Coturnix japonica: one gene and its partner. The protein of the gene in region 1 interacts with the protein of each later gene in a pairwise test. Links are inferred from orthologs where the notes say so. Each region holds a gene or a part of one and is shown on either strand. Other genes may lie near its edges.

Region 1 (3,684 bases):
TGATTGAGGGGGAAAAGCAGGAAAAAATAGGCAAATCCAACAAGGAAGGTGTTGAAATGGCAGGAGATGCACACGCAGGAGAAGAGCTCTCTGCTCTGAGATGCTGCTTGCATGGGATGGGGCCACGTTCAGTGTTTGCAGCTCAGCAAAGGCCCTGTTCTCAATGCTTCCCCCCATATTAGCAGAGTGCACGTCCCAGGGATTGAAATAAGCAGCGGTTCGATCGTCGTTTCTCCCAGGGAAATGGGTTTTAATGAGGTTTTAAATAATAAAATGGGATAATTTCCCCGCCTGGCGAGAACATGAAATTTTTATGCCTCCTTTTCTCTCCCAAAGTTTTATCGCCCTTTGTCTTTAGCAACGCACAACCCCCCTGTAATTAATAATAACAAAGTGATTTAGGGAAACTCAGTCTGTTCCCAGCAGCCCCAATGAGCAGGGGATGCCTCCAGCTCCTTCCCTTCCCCAGGCACTTGGGGAAAGCCTCAATGAGGAGCAGAGTTGGGGCATTTCCCCCCTTGTGCCCCCATAGAGATGGTCTGGGGGTGATGCTGGGGGTGATGCTGGTTTGGGGTGCCAGTGCTGGGTGTGAGATCTCAATGTGTGTGTGCAGTGCTGGGTTGTGAAGGTGCTGGGTGCACAGTGCTGGTGCAAGATCCTGTACGTGGTGCAGGACGCAGCTTGGGTTTGGGTGCAGGTGCCGGTGACAGCAGCTCTGGGTGCCGGTGTAGTGCACGGGACCGGGCTCTGTGTGCGTGTATGTGTGTGTGTGTGTGTGTGTTTTGACGTGAGGAAGTGCCAAAGCTGCAATTGCTTTAGGAAGTCAATCGCAGGGGCCGGGGGACGCGTGCGCAGTGCAGCCGCTCGGCTCCGCTCCTCTCCCGTTGCCTCTCCCTCTCCCTCCGGTGCCGAACCCGGGGGCAGCGCACGGGCGGCGGCCGTGGGCACGGGGCAGCGGACGGAGCTGCTCGACGGCGCGGATGCCTGACCCGTGAGTACCCCACAGCCCGGCCCGGGGGATGCCGGGGGCTGGGGCGGGGATGGGAAGGGAGGGGAGGGGGGGGGAGGACACAGACCAGCCACCCCCGTGTATTGCCCGGCCCGCCCCCCCCCGCATGCTGCAGCCGGACCCTATTCGCATCCCCATCCTTGTCACGCTCCCCCTTCCGCCCCTACGTGCGCGCTCCCCCCTGCACGCACCCTCCTTTTGCACGATCCCCCTTTTCTCCATGATTTCCCTCTTCTCCCCCCCCTCCTCCTCCCCTTTCCAACGCATCCCCCCCTTTCTGTGCATCCTCCCCCTTTTTCCTCCTCCCTTCTCCGGGCACACACAGTGAGCACCGCGGGGCGCTGATGGAAAGGGAGGGCTGCGTCCGTGTGTCCGTGTGTCACCGCCTGACACCGGCCCCGTGCGCGATGCTCGGCGGGGCGGGGGCACGGAGCACACCGGGCCTGGGGGGGGGATTCCCTTCTCGTCGCCTCTCATCCCCTTCCTCCCCATCGCCCCCGAGCCCCTACGAGGAGGAGGAGGATGGAGGAGGAAGGCGGGGGCCCCCTCTCGCCGCAGGGATGGCTGCGCCCGGGTCTTGCCCAACCCAGGGGCAGGGCTGTTTTGTGGTCATCCCCCAGGGCCAGCTCTGCATCCACAGGTGTGCAGAGCTGGAGCATCCTCTGTGGGATGCGGGGTCCCCTTTGTGCTCCCTGCAGCCGGGGGTGCCGTACCCCACCAGCAGCCCTGACCTCGATGTGGCATGGGAAGGTTGGCTGAAGTCAGGGTGAGCCTGAGCTCCGGCCATCATCGGGTCCTCCAGCACCAGGCAGGGGGATCTGGTGACTTCATGACCAGAGGACCCGGTGACCGGGATGTGGCTCCCCCGTAGGGACACAGCATCATCTATCTGTCGCCCAACACGAGCCCATCACGTGGGCTTGGCAGCTTGGCTGAGGGATGGAGAGGGCCAACAGCATCCCTGGGCACAGCGAGGATCCCCCGGGAAGCTCCCTCCCTCCCTCCCTCCCCATGAGGCTGCTCTGGCGCGGATCCATGGCCTTATTTAAGAAACTCAACAAAAAGTGTTAAGTGAGTGGGAGGGATTTCCCCGCTGCAAGGAGAGTTGATTCCCCTCTGGATGCAGCTCCACCATCCCGGTGCTCTCAGTGCCTGCTGTCCCAGTGGATGTGTTGTGCATTGGGTTGCCCCTGTGGGCACGTACCTCAGGATACATCCCAGGGGACAGAGCCACATCAGATTTCCCTACAAGGATTTCAAGCTCCTCCGCCTCAGCCCTTCCCCACAAATGACTCAAAGCCGCTAATCAAAATACAGTCGTGTTCTTCAGCAATTAAACAAACTCTACCTCTGAAGAATTACAGTGGGGAAGCAGAGGTTTGGTGACTCGGACGTGCATCATTCGGGGTCTGTGTGCCATCCCTCAGCCATGTTGGTGGGGGTCTGTGCTTCCCCTGGGTGGTTTCTTGCAGTGAACCCCAGCAGCAGGGCTGATAACGGGGTGCAGCTCTGTGCTGAGATCGTGGCCGCTTCCGTGTTGCCCCGTGCCCACTGCTGCTTCCTATTACTCAGTTCCTTCTTCGTCTCTGCACGTCTCTGCATTTCCATCGCAAAGGCTTGTTTGGAGGGGGTGGGTCTAAAGGCATTTGGTTCTGTGTGTTATTTAATAGCTACTTCTTCATTCGAGGGGGAGAAATTGGATGTTGCTCCCTGTTCTTGTAACGATTCTCACCCAATGGAGAGGACGGTGCATGGTATCCCACGCTGCTGCAGGAGGGGAAAGTGCTGAGCTCTCACACTGTTGCAACCTGGACCTGGCAGCTGCTCTATGGGGGACGTCACCATCCCCACTCCAGCTCCATGGCACTCAGCCTTGTGGGCATCTCGTCCATTGCTGGGCACTCCATCAGCTCTCCCAGCCCATTTCCAGCAGTGTCCACTCCATTCATTCTGGTTTTGCTTTGCCACATGTTGGCCATGCCACAACCCCTCGTGTTCCCTTCTCTACCATCACTGATGGGCACTGGAGTGGTGCTGATCTGCCTGTTCTCCATTCTCTCCCCCTGCAATCCCAGGGATCCCAATCTCTCTCCCATCCAGCTCCATGCACTCATGCATTTTGCTGGAGAGCCGTGTTGCAGTGAGCACATTTCCAGCAGGCTGTGGTGGGGCTGTTGGGCTGCGGGGGGTGCTCAGAAAGTCTCCAATCCCTTGCAGCAGTGGCAGAACAGAGTTGCCTTATCGAGATCTCCAGCAGGGATGGGATGCCTTCAGTCCAGCTGTGCATGCATTGCTGCAGCTGCATGGCTGGTGCATGGCTGGGGGCAGCTGTGTTCATGCCATCCCTTGTGCTGGCAGCCGTGCACCAGGGGATGCAGCATTCAATGGCTTTGGGGTATAAATGCAGCTCAGACCAAAGCCAGGCTCATGGTGCACCCAAGGGTGTGGGGAGGAACACGAGGGGCAGCCCCAGAGCTGTTACTGTCCCACACAGTGTCTTGCCTTTGGTTTAGCCCTGGTGAAGCAGCAGAGTCAAGGAGAACAATGGAATCCTATGGGCTTCAGCATCGATATTCATCACAGGCATGAAAAAAAAAGGGGGGAATTCCTGACAGAGGGAAATACAGAGGGTAGGATTTCCAAACAAGCTGCACTTCCAGTTCTCTGAGCAGCCC
Region 2 (3,649 bases), on another chromosome or scaffold:
GGACGTAGCTGGTGCCTTGGGACTGTCCCTGCTGACCCCATCCCTCCTCACCCATCCCTGTCCCCTCGTGGATGATGGTGATTGTTTCCTGTTTTTGTAGTATGCTCTGGGAACAACCATGGCTGCATCCCTGGGGCCCTGGGCTCTGTGCCCATTGGGACCTGGCCCTGTGGGACAGATGGGAGCGATGCTTTGGGGTGCAGAGCCACAACCCCAGCCCTGAAGCGCTCTGTCCTGCCCAGCAGTGGGAAGCTGCCCTGCTCCGGAAGCGTGTGCTGCCTGGCACTCAGCCTATGGATTGTGTCGGGGCTGAATGGCCGGCAGCCGGTGTGTTCCGGGGATTGGGAGCTTCCCCTCACCATATGGTTGTCCCCATCCCTGTCCCCTCTATATGGCTTGCTGGCTTCCCTGAGCACCACGTGGCTTCCGTCTCCCATTACTCACATCCCTGTGCCACCAGTGACCGCTCCAGTGGCCTATTGGGCTGGTCGTGAGGCAAAGGAACGGATTTGGAAGAGATGGCATGGCAGCCTGGTGGCTGCACTCCCAGCTTCTGCACGTGCCCAAGGGCTGTGCCTGTGCCACGTCACTGCCCAGCTGTGCTGTGATCTGCTGCTGCGGGTGCTGTGGGGTGGCACCGCTCCGGCTGGGGTTATTAGAGTTAATGAGGTACCGGAGCACTCCTGCTGAACAGGGATTACGAAAGGAAAAAATGCCTTCCCTGCAGCTACTGTGACTCAACGCCGGGTTTGGAGGCCGCGGCTCCGCACGTGTGCGCCCACACTCCTCCCGGCATGGGCTCCCACAGCGGGCTCGGGGTCATGCCTGCACCCCATTAACAGTGCCATAGGGCCAGCAGAGTGGGGGGGGAGCTATAGGGGTAGCTCTGTGGACTGGGATGATGTGCCGGGCAGGGATACGCTTTGGAGATGCTCAGGGTCAGTGTGGATTGTGCCCAGCCAGGTGGAGGTGGCACTGCAGTGGCTCTCGGTGCCCTTTGTGCAGTTCTGGTTCTGTGGGGCCAAGCTCCGTCCCCGCTGTGAGCAGCAATTTTCCGCGTGGCGTGGCTGGCTGCAGGGCTCCTTTTCCAAAGGAGCCAGGGGAAGCTCTGGGTGGAAAGAAAGCAAGAAACCCGATCCACCGAGCCGAGCCGAGCGCAGTTTTATTTCCGTCGGGTCAAGCCTGCGAGGTTCCAGCCAAATCATATATTTTGGGCCAAATGAGAAACATGTGTCATCCACCGAGTCCCATAACCAGAGAAAGATGCTGCGGGTGGATGCAGGGTCCTGCCTGGGCTGTGCAGCTCCTCCTGGCCCAGCCTGTGGGCAGGGGGACGCCCTGCCTGGAGGACACAGGGCTGTGACCCTTGCTGCTTCCATGGGGTACCTGGAGTCCCAGCACAGATGGTGATGTCCCTTTGTGCTTTGGCTGCAACCTCAGGCTGTGCTCTTGCAGGTTAATTTTAGCATAATCTCCATTTTTTTGAGCTCCTCTTCCCCTTCTCTGGCTGGAGCGCAGCACCCCTGCCATGAGCTGCCTGGGGCCCCCTGTAAGGGTGGCTCTGCTTTAGGGATGTGGCAGTGCTCACACCTTGGGCATGTGGGGACTGTCTGACACCCCCATGGTGCTGTGTGGGTCAGGGGGGACAGGGCTGGCATGGAGGGTGGCCAAAGAAAGAGAGACCGCAGGGATGGATGAGAGAGAATGCACCAAGTGCTGTGCTTTGGGATGTGGCACCCCCAAACAGCACTGCTTGGGGCTCCTGCGATGAGGGTTTGCTCCAGGCTGTTGTCCCTGTGCAGAGAAGGGACAAGGGATGGGCAGTGTCCCTCTGAGCTTCCCCTTTCAGCTTCCCCTTTCTGCAGCCGGGTGACCTCACTCCTTCCTCCCTCCCAGAATGGGGAGGGAGGGAGGGAGCAACAGACGCACACAGCCTGCCAGAGTGGCACATCCCCAATGCTTGGGGTGACAGCAGCACTGCCAACAGCACTGACACATTGCTCAAGCTGTCTGGGTTTTTCCCAGCTGTGCAGAACCCCCTGGGTGCTGTGGCACTGCTCTGGGCTCTGTCCCCACCTGCTGCTTTAGAAATCCATTGGGTTTAACCCAGCGGGGTTAAACCAAACCCTGCTCTGGTCAATGGAAACCCCTTTGGTGGCAGTGCTACTTCTGTGCTGTGCTTCACTCTGTGCTGGAAATAATCACCCTGAAAAAGGGGTTAGATCTGCTGGGTCCCTTGGACTGTTCAGTGGAGACGTCTCAGCTTTCTGGGCTCCTCCCTGGGGGCTGTTTTAGCTGCAGGAGCACTGAGGGTCCCAGTGCACCCCATGGGGGTCTCTCCAGCGGTAGCCCTGGGATGTAGCTCATGGCTTGTGCCTTATGTCTTCCACAGGTGCTGGGGAGTCCGGGAAGAGCACCATCGTCAAACAGATGAAGTGAGTAGCACAAGGACCTGCCCTGTCCCTGCAGCGATGCTGGGGTCATCTGGGCACAGTGACACCGGGGTCGGGCTCTGGGGATGCTCAGGACGGTGCCGTGGTGGCTAAAAGTGCCTTGAGAAAGGCTGGGATGCTCCCAATGGGATTTCTGCTGTCCCATGTGCCCCCATGTCCCTGCTGCCCAGCTCCTCCAGGCTGGGTGCTCTCCAGGGCATGAATATTACATTGGCTGGCAGTGGAAGGGGAGGTGAGCTCGGGTGCCTGCGGTTACTCCGGCAGCAGTGAGACATGGTGAAAGCAAACACCTGACGGGGAGGTGGCAGCGTGGCTGGTGTCACTGTGGGCCGGGCATGCTGACCCTGCCCCCTGTCCCCAGGATCATCCATGAGGATGGCTACTCGGAGGAGGAGTGCAGGCAGTACAAAGCCGTGGTCTACAGCAACACCATCCAGTCCATCATGGCCATCATCAAGGCTATGGGAAACCTGCAGATCGACTTTGGGGACTCCTCCAGAGCGGTGAGTGTCCCTGTGAGCCTGCTGTGCCCACATCCCTTCTGGGAGCAGGGCCTTCCAAAGCAGAACCAGGGCTCCGGTGGCCCTGCCCAATCCCTTCTGCTACTCCAGGACCCCCTAAGGCAGGGAAAACCCAAAGTACAAGTGGTGGGAATGGGGAGGACAGCTGTGCATTTCCTGGCATAGGAGGGGTGATTTTTTACCATTCCTGTGGTTTGTTTTGTTTTGTTTTTTGCCTATGGGCATCTATGATGGGTTGGTGGGGATCCCTGGGGCTCGTGGAACTGATGCCTGGTTCTGCTGCAGGATGATGCCCGCCAGCTCTTTGCTCTCGCCTGCACTGCAGAGGAGCAGGGCATCATGCCTGAAGACCTCGCCAACGTCATCCGCAGGCTGTGGGCTGACCATGGGGTCCAGGCCTGCTTCAATCGCTCCCGTGAATACCAGCTGAATGACTCTGCTGCCTAGTGAGTACCTTCCTCCTCAGCCTCCTCCTCCTCCTCAACCTGTCGCTGTGCTATGGAGCTGTTCTGTGATGTTAGGGTCGGGGCAGCTCTCCCCCAGGTGTGCAGCATCCAAGCTGCATTCATAGAACCACAGAATGGCTTAGGTTGGGTGGGATATTAAAGATCATCCAGTTCCGTCCCTGCCATGAGCTGCTGCCCCCCAGCTCAGGCTGCCCAGGGCCCCTCCATG

The links. The genes of interacting proteins can lie anywhere in the genome.
Region 2: the proteins of regulator of G-protein signaling 19-like (region 1) and GNAI2 interact in a two-hybrid assay, tested with the Homo sapiens proteins (2 studies listed by BioGRID and IntAct). The link is inferred for Coturnix japonica from reciprocal best matches to the Homo sapiens genes RGS19 and GNAI2.

The regions. Positions count from the first base shown.
Region 1 is NC_029535.1:8,388,144-8,391,827, forward strand, and holds the start of regulator of G-protein signaling 19-like, read left to right. Parts: upstream 1-835; 5' UTR 836-991; intron 992-3,684. UniProt on the Homo sapiens protein: Inhibits signal transduction by increasing the GTPase activity of G protein alpha subunits thereby driving them into their inactive GDP-bound form. Binds to G-alpha subfamily 1 members, with the order G(i)a3 > G(i)a1 > G(o)a >> G(z)a/G(i)a2.
Region 2 is NC_029527.1:2,011,691-2,015,339, reverse strand, and holds part of GNAI2 (guanine nucleotide-binding protein G(i) subunit alpha-2), read left to right. Parts: intron 1-2,392; coding exon 2,393-2,435; intron 2,436-2,814; coding exon 2,815-2,956; intron 2,957-3,259; coding exon 3,260-3,420; intron 3,421-3,649. UniProt on the Homo sapiens protein: Guanine nucleotide-binding proteins (G proteins) are involved as modulators or transducers in various transmembrane signaling systems.